2 linked regions of the Rhinolophus ferrumequinum genome follow. The protein of the gene in region 1 binds, or shares a complex with, the protein of each later gene. Links are inferred from orthologs where the notes say so. Each region holds a gene or a part of one and is shown in the gene's direction. Other genes may lie near its edges.

The links. Proteins that work in one complex are often made in the same cells at the same time.
Region 2: INTS4 (region 1) and INTS6 share a complex: the UniProt entries of both Homo sapiens proteins name them as parts of the integrator complex. The link is inferred for Rhinolophus ferrumequinum from reciprocal best matches to the Homo sapiens genes INTS4 and INTS6.

What each region holds. Positions count from the first base shown.
Region 1 is NC_046294.1:52,165,710-52,173,028, reverse strand, and holds the start of INTS4 (integrator complex subunit 4), read left to right. Parts: upstream 1-4,318; 5' UTR 4,319-4,551; coding exon 4,552-4,605; intron 4,606-7,319. UniProt on the Homo sapiens protein: Component of the integrator complex, a multiprotein complex that terminates RNA polymerase II (Pol II) transcription in the promoter-proximal region of genes.
Region 2 is NC_046287.1:86,290,891-86,298,189, forward strand, and holds the start of INTS6 (integrator complex subunit 6), read left to right. Parts: upstream 1-4,197; 5' UTR 4,198-4,711; coding exon 4,712-4,822; intron 4,823-5,213; coding exon 5,214-5,291; intron 5,292-6,099; coding exon 6,100-6,249; intron 6,250-7,299. UniProt on the Homo sapiens protein: Component of the integrator complex, a multiprotein complex that terminates RNA polymerase II (Pol II) transcription in the promoter-proximal region of genes.

The sequences.
Region 1 (7,319 bases):
TTCACCTACCTCACTCCCATGGATCTAGGGGGACACGGAGAACCAATACAAACACAAAGTTCATGCCACCTGCTATGCTGTGAATAATAAACTGTCTAAATAAATGTGGGCTTGTTGTCTCCTTACCAGCTGAATCTATGGAAGTGTGGCAAGTCGACTTGGCAATTTAGGGACTGTCTGACCACACGACAATCCCCTGACCCCCAACCTCAATGCCTTAAGACTACAACAATTAATTATGTCTCATAAGCCTACAGATTGGGCAGTTCTTCTGGTCTTGGGATCACTCATGAATCTGTAGTCAGATGGTGGATCAGCTAGGGTAGGGCTGGTCCAAGATGGGCTTAACTGGATCAACTTGGCTTTGTTCCATGTGGTCACTCACACTCCAGCAGACTAGGTGGGATTTATTCTCATGGCAATGGTAGGGTTCCAAAATCAAGCAAAAAGCCGGGGGAATTGGTATGTGGATGAACCTTGAGGCCCAGGCTCAAACCTAGCACACTGTCACTTTTGCTACATTCTACTGGCCATGCACAAGGCCAGCCCAATTCAAAGGTGGGGATATAGATTCCATCTCTTAATAGAAGCCGCTTCAAAGCTACATTTCAAGGGGTATGCATACCGAGAGGGGGAGAGCTGGGGCCATTTTTGTAGTCATTCTACTACACGCCGGATCCTTTCCATCAGGGAGGGAGTAGTGACGTAACCTCACAGGAATAGATACAGATTCAGATTTGACTTTCCTACTGCTATTGACTGAATGTTTGTGTCTGCCCCCACCCCTACCAATTCCTGTGTTGAAACCCTAACCATCAATGTGATGGTATTAGGAGGTGGGGCCTTTGGGAGGTGATAGGTCATGAGAAGAGCCCTCATGAATGGGATTGGTGTCCTTATAAAAGAGACTCCAGAGAGCTCCCTTGCCTCTTCTCCTATGTGAGGACATGTGAGAAGACAGCTATCTATGAACCAGGAAATGAGTTCTCACCAGACACCGAATCTACCTGCACCTTGATCTTGGACTTCCTCGCCTCTAGGACTGTGAGAAATAAGTTTCTGTTGTTTATAAGCCCCTCTGTGGTATTCTGTTAGAGTAGCCTAATATCTCTATACGTGTCCAACTGGTTCTGTTTTCCGGGAGAACCCTAACTCATATACCTAACTGCAATGTTTCTGTCAGCCCTACCATTCATGGATACCTAATTCATTTTCATAGTATATCACACATTGCTTCTGACTAAGGAGCTTATTTTATGGTGGAAGAATTTTAGCAAAGAAACTCATTGGTCTTTCCAGGTACCCCATCACTCAGATGTAGTTACTGTAATGAAAACAGTGTCATGACCTTTTTCAGACTCAGTTATGGTGCTAGCCGAGAGACAACACATTATGAGTTTGGGGTGCTGCCTTACAGGTTTGTGATATGCCTTCTACCAACCGCTAATACACAGTAGTTTCTCTCAGTTAGAATACATGGGCCTGGGAACTAGGGGGTGGAGGTAGGAGTGCTTCTTGACACTTTTACACCTAATAACTCATTTATGAATTCTTGGGTTCAGTGTTAGGAGTACTTAGTCCCCAAGGGAGGAACAGTTCCATTAAAGAACACAGTCATTGTTCTAGTATATTGGAACATGCAATGAGACTGCCCCTGCTCATTTGGGGCACTTCTTGCTGAGCCAACAGGCAGACAAGGGGATACACTTCCAGTCTGAAAGACTGACCCTAATTTCCAAGGGGAAATTGAGTTGTTGTTATACAATAGAGACAGAGAAGACTCTATTTGAAGCCCAAGGTATTCACTGGGGCACCTCATTGTATTCTCATATGCAATAATGAAGGTCCAAGGAAAATGTCATCGATTCAATAAAGACAGTTTTTCATTTCAAAATTAAAGAATGTGATTTCATTACGAGAAAAGAAATCTTAACAAAATAACACAAATGTGACAAAAAAAATTAAAGAATGTGGACTACTTTAATTTCTATACCAGTCTGGCCTCCGCTTCTCAATTTTACTTCTATCACTCCTCCCTGATAGAAGTAAAATTGAGAAGCGGAGGCCAGACTGGTATAGAAACTAAAGTGCATACTAAAGTGCACTAAAGTGTAATACTTTAGTTTCTATACCAGTCTGGCCTCCGCTGTATGCTCCCTGTATGCACTTTACTCTCATTATGAACTGAATTTCCTTTGGTTTCTCCGAGTGCGTCAAACTTCCTCCTAGGCCTCATATCTATTACTAATAATAACAATGATAAACTTTGTGTCATTAATGCTTAGCTGCACATTTAACATCTCTGAAACCAGGACATGTTTTAAGATTGCTGTTGGCCAGGTTTTCATGTGTAGATTGTGTCACAGCACTCCATGTTATCATTGCTTCAGCTGAGCTCTGTGTATGAGATACAGCTACTGTATCTCAAAAAGATGACCTTGCAACTTGCATTAAGAGTTTTTATGTGCACAGGAAGCATAGACATAGGATAGACAGCAGTATGACATAGGATAGAAATTTCCATCTAAATAGGTTTAAAAGAGCTCTTTTTTCAGGGGTGCAAAAAAAATGTACACATTTTAAGAGATGTTATTTATTACTTTTTGAAGTTGAATTGAATTACGGTAGTAGTATGTAGTATGATGTTCGCTTAAAAGATAGCGTTAATCAAATGAATGCTAGCATCATTCACTGTATTACAATTTTAATACAGTTTTTTCCTTTCTTAAAATGTGTATACATTTCTTTGGCACCCTCTGTATAACAAGCCTAAGCAATAAGAAACCATTATTTTTAATTTCAGAATTTTTTTCTTAATGTGTTGTACAAAATAATGGTTTGTTTTACAATTCCTGGCAGCTTAGATTTGATAGAACGTGGTAATAATAATATTAATAATAATAATGGCTGGTAACGTTTATTGAAGGCACTGTTCGCTAAGCGCTTTTCACTTCACTCAGTACATTTATATAATGTACTATAATGTACGTATATATAATGTAATATAATGTACCGTAATCTCTGTGGTCTGAGAAAATTTACGACAGGCATACCTCCTTTCACAATAAAGTGTTTCACTTTATTGTGTTCCGCAAATACTGCATTTTTACAAATTGAAGACCCTCCATCAGCAAAAAGATTGACTCGCCTAAAGGCTCCAATGATGGTTAGCATTATTTTACCAATAATGTATTTATTAACTAAGGTATGCACATTGTGTTTTTAAAGACATAATGCTACTGCACACTTAATAGACTACAGTATAGTATAAACATAACTTTTATATATGTACTGGGAAACCAAAACTTCATGTAACTCGCTTTATTGCAATATTCACTTTATTGCAGTGGTTTGGAACCACACCTGCAGTACCTCTGAGATATGCCTGTATTTTGAAGCCAGATTAAAAATCCTTCCCTTTGTAAAACTTCCCTGAGACATCCTGAAGAAGTTAGGTCTGTTTGAACCACATTCCTCTTATCCAGCACACTTTGGCTGCCCACTAATTATCAGCTTGGGTGTCTCTCCCCAGTTAGGCTACAGCACCTTGAGGGTAAAGACCATCTTTTAATGCATTTTTGGGTCTTCTGTACCTACTACAGCCTGCTGCTTTTTCTCAGCATCCCACATTAACTCTTTTCAAAGATGAAACAATGAACAGCTCAAGTTTAATCTAGGATGTAAAACTGAGCTTGGATTTATTAACACTACAACAGGAACCACACTTTACAGTCTGCAAACTATTTGTGCATTATCTCATTCCACTGTCACTAAATTTGTCAGGTTAGGTGTTATCTGCCCATTTGTAGTTGAGGCTACTTATTTATTAAGTGCCAGTTGTAGTATGAAGCTTCGTTGTTTGACCCTTGGCCTGGGGATTCTTTCCACTCTACCTCAGCTATCAGAGGAGGGGTTTATTCCCTAAAGGATGGGTAGATTTTGAACAACTGGAGTGAGGGAGCAGGAAAAAACACCCCAGGACAGAGTAGGGGTGGAGCACTGATTGGCCAAAAGGAAAGCTCAGGCAAGCTACGAGCAGCAAACACTATACACAGCAAAGGATGATGAGAACGTCAGCTCGGCCTCTTTCCGTTACCTCCCGAGTCAAGATAGTTACGCAGCTCCGGGTTTTACCTGTAGCACTGGCTCAACCCCGCCTCCGCCCTTTACCTGGTACTTTGTCCCACCCTCCGCTCCGTTCCGCGCCAGTCTCTCGAACCCTGAGACCACCACCAAGCCTCCGAAAGCTCCCATTGGCTCGCCCACTCGTTGAGTCCCGCCTCCTCCTCCCGAGGCCCCGCCCCCTCCGCTACGCTCTCTTTTCCGTTCCACCGGCTCCCGAGGCGTAGGCGGCCAAATCCTGCCGTACCGCGACGGGGCAGTCGAGCAGCCGGAAGTGGCCACTCTTTCTCGGAATCCCACTGCCTTGTGGGACCGTGGCCGGTTCCTCCGGCCTGAGCTAGTTTTCCGGGTTCCTTCAGCCCGCCCCCTTCCCTTCACTCCCCCGCCTTCCTCGTCAAGTACGGAAGCTGAGAAGGTCCGCTGGCAGCCATGGCGGCGCACCTTAAGAAGCGGGTGTACGAGGAATTCACTAAGGTGGTTCAGGTAAGCTCGGGAAGGAAAGGTCCTGGGACCGATCCGGGCAGCGGAAGATTAAATACACGTCAGGCGCTTTGCTGGAACAAACTTGGGTTGAGCGCCTATTACTTTGATAGGCTCTCTGGGACTACACTTTAGTGGGCGTGTTCATTTGTCCCTATTCTTGTTATTATGATTAATATGTGCAGTCTTGATACTTTTTTTTAATTATTAGAAGAAACAAATAGCGCTTTACCATTTACGGAAATAACCGTTATTTTATTCAGGTTACATTAATATCCTCGTTTTACGGATGTGGATTTAGCTTCTGGAGGGGTCGAGGACAGAGAGCCAATTAGTGGCAGAGCCCCTCCCAATTCCTGTTGCACACACACACACACACACACACACACACACACACTTTCCCAGGGACAAGTTGGTTGTACTCAAAGCTCTCGGGATGGAAGAGGAGTCTGTAGAAATTCTTAAGACCCAGTCAAAGCAGGCGTGGGTCACAAGCTTCATTGGGGTAGAACTCTTCCATTGGTGGTGGGCAATACCTTCTTCCATTGGAGTTAAGGACCGGTGTGCCGAGCCCTTGACAGAGCACTCAGTGCTTCTCCATGTGTCTCCTTGTAGATGTCGCTAAAGTAGAAGTTGATCCTAAGTCATTCCATGTGTCGTGCTCCTTAGACTTATGTGTATACAAATCACCTGGGGAATCACATTAAAATATAGCTTGTACGCAGTAAGTCTGGCAGTGGAGGTGAGGCAATCTGCATTTCTGACAAGCCCCCAATTGATACTAGTTGATCAGCAGCATCCTTAGAGCCACAGACCACCCTTAATTCTTCTACTTGTAGAGTAGCAGGACTTAGACCATCCAGAAGGAACTGATCCTTAAACCTTTCATTCATTCCTTCAACAAGAGTTTATTGAGTGAATGAGTGGTTACTATGTATCAGGTATGATGAATACATTGAGCTACAGTGTCCAATACACGTGAGGGTCCTTCTTTAGGAGCTCACAGTCTAGTAAGAGAGAGAACAGCATATCATATATGTGATTCGTACTACAGAGAGATAATTGCACTGACAAATCAAGTCATCCTTCTACTTTTGCAGCTCCGTTTCCTAAAAACTCCCCAGCCAAACTCCCAGCCCTTCTTGATTTGACAGTATACCCTCCAGCTGTATCCCTTCCTTTCTTTTTTGTTTTGTGGACGCATCTTTGTAGCACATTCCCATTGTCTGTAGGGAAGTTAGTTTGCCTTATTCTTGTTTTTGCTTATAATAACTTTGAGATTTAACTTTGACACTTTTTTGTTGCCCTTTTTAATGTGAAATTAGTTTTCTGAATTTTTAGAATGAGTCAAGATTTAGGATAGCGTTTTCTAACTTCACAGAGCTCCCTCTTCTGTGGCTTGCTTTCTGGGATTTCCTGGCTTTGTTTCCCTTGACATCCTCCCCTTTTTTTTTAAATTGTTATAAAATATACATAAATAAAATTTACTGTTTTAACCAGTTCTGGTGTTAAGTACATTAACATTGTTGTGCAGTGTAATTTTTTTTGGAAACATTTTGTTGTTCCCACTTCTCAAGACTACTCATCCCTCCTCCAACATGCCATGTGTTTGTACCTCTCCAAACTTGTGTATCTATTGTCTCTTTTGCATAGAATGGATATCATTCTTCCCTTTCTTTTTTTTCTCCACCCAGTGGACTTATATTTTTGCTTCAAAAATATCAGTTGGGCTCAAGACCCAACTGAAACCTGAGCAAGAGTTTAGTCTCTTCCCTACTTCTACGGCACTCTGTTGTACTCATCTGTTTCTACTTATCACTCAGTACTACTACTGTGATTACCAGTATACGTATTTTCCCACTAGTCTGGGCTCTTTGAGGGCAGAGATAATGCCTGAGGGTTCATCCCTGTCACCCCTGGATAGACCATAGGGTCTGGCTCACTAAAATGTCATTGATGGTTGGTTGATTGCAGATGTTGGTTTGTCTGTCCTTTTACATACTCTCTAGGGAAAAAATCTTTCCCAGCTTTTGATCTAATTGCAGCCTGGATAAGACTGAAGACTGAATGTGTGGAATAGGATGGAAATGGGTAAATGGTTATTGAACCCAAATTCCTCTGACTTCAGAACTCCAGGTCTTTTTATCATGTCATATCATGTTGCTGTCTAGCATAATCCTAATCTCTTCTCGGTAGAAGGGTAAATTTGTAAGGAGGTAATTGCTTAGAATATGAAAATGATGTCAAGTGTTAAGGAAAATTATTGATTACAACATTTATCTTATGTTATGATCCCCTCTATACCTACCCACTAGGGCCTGACTTAAACCCCAGAGTGACAGGTTCCCTTTTACATGAACTTTTTGGGACTCATTATATGTAACAAATGCACCTAGAATGTTTCTAGTTCTGTACCACCCTTTGGGGATAGAGAAATAATTACTCAAATAATTTTATGTGTTCTGTGGTTCAGATGAGAATCCCTGGTTGAGAAAGGTAGGTGTCGTCATCCCCATTTTACAGATGATAATACTGAGAATCATGACTAACTTAGAACAGAGCAGCATTCCAAGTCAATCATTCAGTAAACATTTATTAAGTGGCTACAGTTTGCTAGGCCTACGGCAGTGTATTTTTTTCCTACACTGACCATCTTTTTAATAAAGGCAGAATGATTTGGGGGAAGCTAGTCATCTGGAGTGAGGGAAAGATTTTTT
Region 2 (7,299 bases), on another chromosome or scaffold:
CTTTCATTGATATCTTCTAGTTGGATCAAGAAAGCACCAGCATCAAAACTCGAAGAATGGAAGCCGATGGTTTGGAAGAAAATACTGAAGATAATAGCTGAGTATTCTTTAAAACATGTTGAATCGCTACTGCTCCTGGTTGGTAGAATTTAATACAGTGTGGATAAATTCTAATTGATAAAGAAGCATTACGTCATAGTTTAATTAGTAGCATTTTTTTCCTTTCAGTGGTCCAAAAATAAAGGCATTTCTTAGAACCCAAGGTGTCTCAGCATAATGAAATATGGTTATGTTGCCTCACATTTTCAAAACAATCCTCTAAGACAGGTCTTATTACATGCCTGGGGTCTGCTGACTCATCATAAGTGTATTCTCATCACCTGTTTATCTGCCTCTGTCTTTCCATTAGATTATAAACTCTCTATGGCCTACCATAGTGCCTGTCATATAGGTGTGCAATTAATATTAATTTTAAAAATTATTGCAATTTTCATGCTCTTTTGCTAGAGAAACTGTTCTACTGTGATTCTCATTCTCAATTTGGATATGTCACTTTCAGAACTGATCTTGAATTATCTCAAACTTCAACTATTACTGTGAAATACTGCTCAATGGAAAGGTCTAATTCCTTTTAATAGTAGTCCCTAGCAGCATGTTTTCCTGAGGATTGATATTATATAATATTAGGATGACCAAAATACATTTTCTTGTATATATATTACCTGAATACATTCTGCTGCATAGTTTCACATCTAATTTTTTATGCTTATTACGTCATTTTTTTGATGCTCTCAACCTCTCAACATCATTGACTATTTGTGATCTCAAAGAGTAAAAAGCAGAGAGCTAAGGAAATGGTAAGTGAGCCAAAAGAACCATTGTTAGGTTACACATGAACACTAATCTGATTATTTTGTTCAGATGGCACATCCAGAAACCATAAGCCATGTCATTGGCACATAATTATTTTTAAACCGTGTTTACCCTGTTTAATTGGTTTAAAGTAATTTAAAAGGGCTCTGGTTGGCTTCTACAAATCAATCTAATTCATCAGTTTTTTCAATTCCGTTAGAATAGCTCTATTTACACAATTTAGGCTATTGTTAAGCCCGAGTCACCATTCTTTCAGAGGGTTTCATAAAATTTATTCATTCTCTTTTAAATGGGAGCCACAGCATTTGGGCAGCACTCCTTTAAAAGCAGCAGTAAAGAGCAAGTTTTCTCCCACTTATCTCTGTTGACCAATGCCCTCCCAGAAAAATCTTCCTTAATTCCCTAGACTGCAACAGCACAGGGCTTAGCACACACTACTCCAACTAGTTTTCTCTCTAGCATTGCAAGAGCTCACCACTTCTTCAGTTGAGTCTGATGAAATAGTTGGCTTGCATTTAGGAGCCATGTTTTAGAAAAATAAGTTGCATATAACCAGAATCTTTCTAGAATCACAGGGATTGAGTAAAAAAAGAGATTCATGTTTCTCATGTTTCCCAAGGCCTAAAGTCACCAAGAAAAACAGTGGGAATCTCTCGCACTGTTTAGTCTTTGTAATTAGCTGTCCTGATCTTTGTATCTAATCCTGGCTTTACCATACACCTCCACTTATGACCCTAGTATGACAATCTGCCAACTCCCAAGTTAGGGAAGAAAGAGCGATGGCTCCATGGAAAATGACTTCAAATAACTGCAATAAGGTAGTAACTGTAAAGCATGGTCACCCACTTCAGTAAGCTAGTTTGATTCCCTTCAAACACTGCTTTGTACCAGCACCCCATCTAAAAACTCTCATTTATACGGAAACAAAAATCCTTAGCCTGGAATAAAGGCTCTCTACTGTCTAGACATGACCTACCTTTCAGGATGTTATCCTATTCTTTGTGTAGCTGGTGCGGCAGTCTTGCTGTATGTACTTCACTGTTTCCCAGAAAGCCATTGACAATGCTGTGCTAACTTTCTTCACTACATTTTAAATGTCTAGGACTTTTTCATTGGCAGCTTCCTCTTCCTCTACCCATATATCCAAATCCTTTAAAGGAGTATTTCTCAAACCTGAGTAATGTAAAATAAATTCTTATGATTCTATAGAATACATTTTTAGACAGGCAGGAGTCCATAGACCACAGTTTGAAAAGGACTGACATAGAAAAACTGTAGACCAATTCCATGAAAATCAGTTGCCAATTATCACGTTAAAAAAAATATATATATATTATTATATATAAAATATATATATAAAATATATTATATATGTAAAAAATATATATATGTAAAAAAATATATATATATTTTTTAACTGGTAAAACAATTTGTATATTGTCGTTAAAATGAAAACAAAAATTTTAAAGCATCAAAGAATTCTGAGTCTTAGCTCCAGATCTAGGACCCCAGTTTGAGAAACACTGCTTTAAGGCACAGCTTAAACATACTGACCCTGGAAAATGCTCTTTCATCACCCCAGGGTAATACATTTTCTCTTTTCTGAGTTATTTAGTATCTAATCACTTCTGCCTTGTAGTAGCTAGTAATACTAATGTAGTATTTTTCTAGAAAAACTATAAGCTCTTTGAAGGCAGGGACCATATTTTAATCATTTAACTCCACCTGGGGTCCTCAGCAAATATTGCATGTAAGACCTGTATTTCATCTTATTTAGCAGTCCCAATCTCTTTAAAAATCTCTCTTCTATGGCACACACTCACAGGACAGCGTATTACTGAAATAGCCCTACAATAAACTAAAAGTTCAGAGGTTGTTTTAAATATTAGGAAGAGTCCAAGTTATGAAAGTGAAGATTTTTAAAAAGGGCCACAAAGCATGTCTCTTCAGTGTTAACAGGAACTACTTCTTAAAATGATCAGTAAAGAATTTCAGCGTGAAGAGTGAAACAAAAAAACACGCAATGCAAGGCCTAGTAAGAGAGGCCCTAAAAAAATCCTACAGTCTTATGAGAACTATTATGTCCCTAATTCAACTTGTATTTCAGGCAGTATTCAGTTTTTTAACTAGTGTAGAGGATTCATTACTTCAGGTATGACGACTGAGGCTTGTTTTAACCTAGAACGCCTTCCCTCATACTGTATTTGAAATGAGTGTGAGAGGCAGCAAATAGTGAAAGGAAAGCACAGACAGGGTTATGGGAACCCCATTCTCTGGGTCACCTGGGCAAGCTGAAGTCAGTTTTTTCATTTAAAAATAAAGAGTAATTCATTATGGTTTGCTACCGCCCCTTTTAGCTCTGAAATCGGTATTCTATGGCCCTTAAGTAAACAAGGTTTGAGAGAAGTATTTCGTTGGGTAGAACCGGTTATTTTCCCCTAAGAATAAAATGGGCAACAAACTGTTTGTCGATATTGAACTCTTTTCCCATCCCCTTTTGGGGCTGTTTGAAAAAAGTGGGTTGAATCCTTTCTTGGTAGGTCCTCGAACAAGAGGGGTCCTGGCCTGCTCCGAGTCCAGCCCTCACCCCGGCTGCTCCCCAAGGCTGAGCGGAGCTGCGGGTGAGGTTTGTCTTTCGTCCCCACTCCCCAGCGGGAGCGCTGTGACTCGCGGAGATTAGTCCCTCGTCATAAACAACCTCTCACTTCCCTTCCCCCGCTCTGGGTCCGCCTACGCTGAGGCCGGCCCTCTGAAGACCAAGGAACCTCTTCCGGAGACCGCTGGCCTGCCGCCTTCCCCTAATTGGGCGTTTGATCCTATATTTATCCCCTCCTCATGTGCCCACCAGGGAAGGGGCTCGCTACAGCGACCTCGGAAGGGGAGATGAAGCGAGCCTCCATTTCCCCTCCCTCGACCCCTATCACCTCCAACAGCCAAGGAGAGGCCGGCAGCACTGACGCGCAGACTCAGCCGCTGCTGTCCTGCGCGCGCCGACGCGGCTCCCACCCCCCCCCCGCGATCCTTCCGCGGTCCGTCCCCGCCCATTCCCGGAGCCCGCCTCCGCGTCTGCCGACCCGCCTGCTCGGCCCTCGCGATCGCTCTCGCGCGCACCCGACGCCCCGCCTTCGCGCGTGCTCAATAACAGTTCTCGGAGCCGGCCTACAAGCTTCTCCCTCCCCTGAGCTGTTTGAATATGCTAATAAGAGGCTAGAGATTAACGAATTGAATTGCGGGGCGGTGCGTCACGTGGCGCGAGGACGTGTCAGGAGGCGGAGCCGCTGCAGCCCCTGCCCGAGTTAAAACCGGAGTGTGAGAGAGAAAAGCGCTTCAGTAGCGAGAGGGGCTGAGAAAGTGGTGACACAGCCGGGGTGCGGAGGGAGTCCCTGAAACTTCTCCCAACAGCCCCAGGGCCAATCTCCCCTTAGCCCACTCCCCTCTTCGCCAGCTCCCAGGTCCCCACTCCCTGCACCGGGGGTGGGGTGGGGAGCCAGGCCCGTCTCCCGCTGGGACACACACAGGGGCCGGGAGCGGGGACGGGACCCCCGAGGCGGGGAGTACGGACCGACAGACAGACGGCCGGGCGCCCGCCCTAGCGGGCAGGCCGGCAGGAGGAGGCGGAGGAGGGGGTACGACGGGGAGGACTGGGTCTGGGAGTTTCCTCTCAACTATCGGGGGAGAAACTCCCCGCAGCCGGAGGAAAGACCCAGACGGTGTTTTCCTCCCGGGGGCCGCGCTCCCCCGCCCCGCGTAGCGGCGGTCGCCGCCGCCGCCACCGGCGCCTCCACCTCTACCATCTCTTTCTCTACCACCTCGGGCCCCGGTGTCCCCGGCCAGCACTATGCCCATCTTACTGTTCCTGATAGACACGTCTGCCTCTATGAACCAGCGCAGCCATCTGGGCACCACCTACCTGGACACGGCCAAAGGCGCGGTAGAGACCTTCATGAAGGTACCGACTGACCGAGCCCGGGCGGCGATCCCGGCCCGGCGGCCCGCGGGCGGCTGGGGTGGCAGGGAAGGCGGCCGGGGGCGGCGAGGCGGAGGTGTCGGGGACCTGACTGCGGGAGCTGCCGGGCTCGGGGACCCCCTCCCCCACCGCGCGGGCGGGCGGGCGCTGCGAGCGGGGCTCGGCCGGGGCCCGGGCTCCGGCCCCGGGAGGTGTGTTGGGGCCGATCTGTGTGTGGGGGGCGGCGTGAGGGGGTGGCCGCTGCGTGTGCGGTACTGGGGGTGGGGGGGCGGTGGGGCCGCTGGGCACCCCTTCTCCGCCTAGTAACCTCGCCTCTGTGCTTCCCTCTCGCTCGCCCTGTTTCTTCTCCCGTCCCCCACCCGCTCTCCCGCAGCTCCGTGCCCGGGATCCTGCCAGCAGAGGAGACAGGTATATGCTGGTCACTTTCGAAGAGCCGCCCTATGCTATCAAGGTAACAGCCCTCGCCCTCCCCCTTCCCTTCCCAGTTCCTTCCTCGCTCGCCCTCCCCGCCCCCCATTCACCCTTCATTATGCTCCCCTCCCCCACCCGCTGTGCTCCAGGAGCTGAAGTCTTTTCCCCTGCGGGCTCCCACCCCCTCCCCCGCTCCGGAGCGCCCTGGCGCGGCGCGGAGTCGCGGGGCCACCGCCATGCCCTCCCCAGCCCGGCCCGGTGGCGGCAGCGGCGGCGGCGCTGCGATCAACATGGCCGACATTTCCCCTCCGCGGCGTGAGCGGCAGCAATGAACTGTGGGGGATATTTATTCAAGTTAGCCCCAGTGACAGCCGGGCCGGGCCGCGCCGAGCCCGGGTTTGCATTAAAGGGGAATCGGCCCGAGGCTTGGCCGCTCTCGCCCTTGCTGGCGAGTGAGCCGGTTAGGAGGCTGCGGGGCTTGGTCTTCGGATTCTTCCCTAGAGGGCTGCGGGCCAGTGGGACAGCTGTAGGTTAACTTCAGAAGTCCTCATGTCTGCTTTCCACTAGCACTTTGCATCCCCAAATTTTGGGTATTAGGTTAGAAGTAAATTTCCCAGAGAAGTTCCAAAGTAGTTATCCTGTTAGCTACCAAAAGCAGTAGCGCAGACAGGTTTATTCTTGGCCACCTTTGGAAGAGAGTTTCCTCAGCAATGATACGATTTTAACACATCATTAACCAAACCATCCTGAAAAGTGAAGCAGCTACTTGATGAACCACAGATTGTAATGGCTGTCCATGTATGCAAAGCTTTAAAAAATAAAAAAAAGTCTTAAATTTTTCTTTTCAGGCCGGGTGGAAAGAAAACCATGCAACGTTTATGAATGAACTGAAAAACCTTCAGGCTGAAGGACTTACGACTCTTGGCCAATCCCTAAGGACAGCTTTTGATTTATTAAATTTAAATAGATTAGTAACTGGCATAGACAACTATGGGCAGGTAGGTTGAATATTAAGGTGGAAAAAACAGTTGATTTTTCTTTTTGTGGAAAAACACAGTCCAGTCCAAAACTACATAACATGAAATACAAGTATAAAACATTTCAGATTAAAATACACTGTACACATAATACAAAAGTGAAACTGACTAAACTGTATGTGGTTTTATAGCCTTTTTTTTCTTAAAATATATTTGCATTCAGAATTAGAATCTGAATTCTTTGCTATAAGATTGACATAAATTGGTTTTAATACTTTGCACTCAGGGCATAAAAGGGAAAACATCCTGCCTCACCACACAGTTTCTCTGATACTCTATCCACAGGCAGTTAGTCTGCAATGAATTATAGACACTAGTTGATTAGTGGTCTTCATTTATATAGTACTAAAAACGTTAGAGGAAATTATTCTATTTGTTGTATCAGGGTTTAATTTAACCATAGTGTACAACTACTCTGAAAGGTAAGATTTTCATTAAAGTGTCATAATTGGCTGAATACATGAAGATTTCTCAGCTTTTGAAGCATATATAATAAGCAACTATGCAGGAAGGATTCTGAATTCATTCCTGAATTAAATGGCAGGTCCAGAGGTTATTTATTTATTTTTAACTCCAAACTCTTGGAAAAGAGGCTGTTTGAAAATATGAAAGAACCTTTCCTTCCTTCCTTAATGCCCCCCTTCCATCCACACTTGCTTTTATCTATTTGAAGATGAGACAGGAGCTTTAAATCACATGACGGTTCGTTATGGAATAATGTAAGGTGGTCCACTGTAACTTTTTTTTTGAGATTGCTGGCCTGGAAAATAAAAGATACTGAAGAATGTGTAATGTTACACATAAAAGTATTAAACCCAAGGAATTCACTTTTTATGCTGTAGTGCAAAGCACTGTTACCACAATGATACATTTAGGTATACATTTTGTTCTTTTCCCAAATTCCATAAGCCACGGTTTTCATGAGTTGCACAAATTTCAGGGGCATTCTTCCTGCAACTTGTGGCTGCTTTATATAGAAAGATACAGAAATTTTCCCTTGTTTTAGTAATG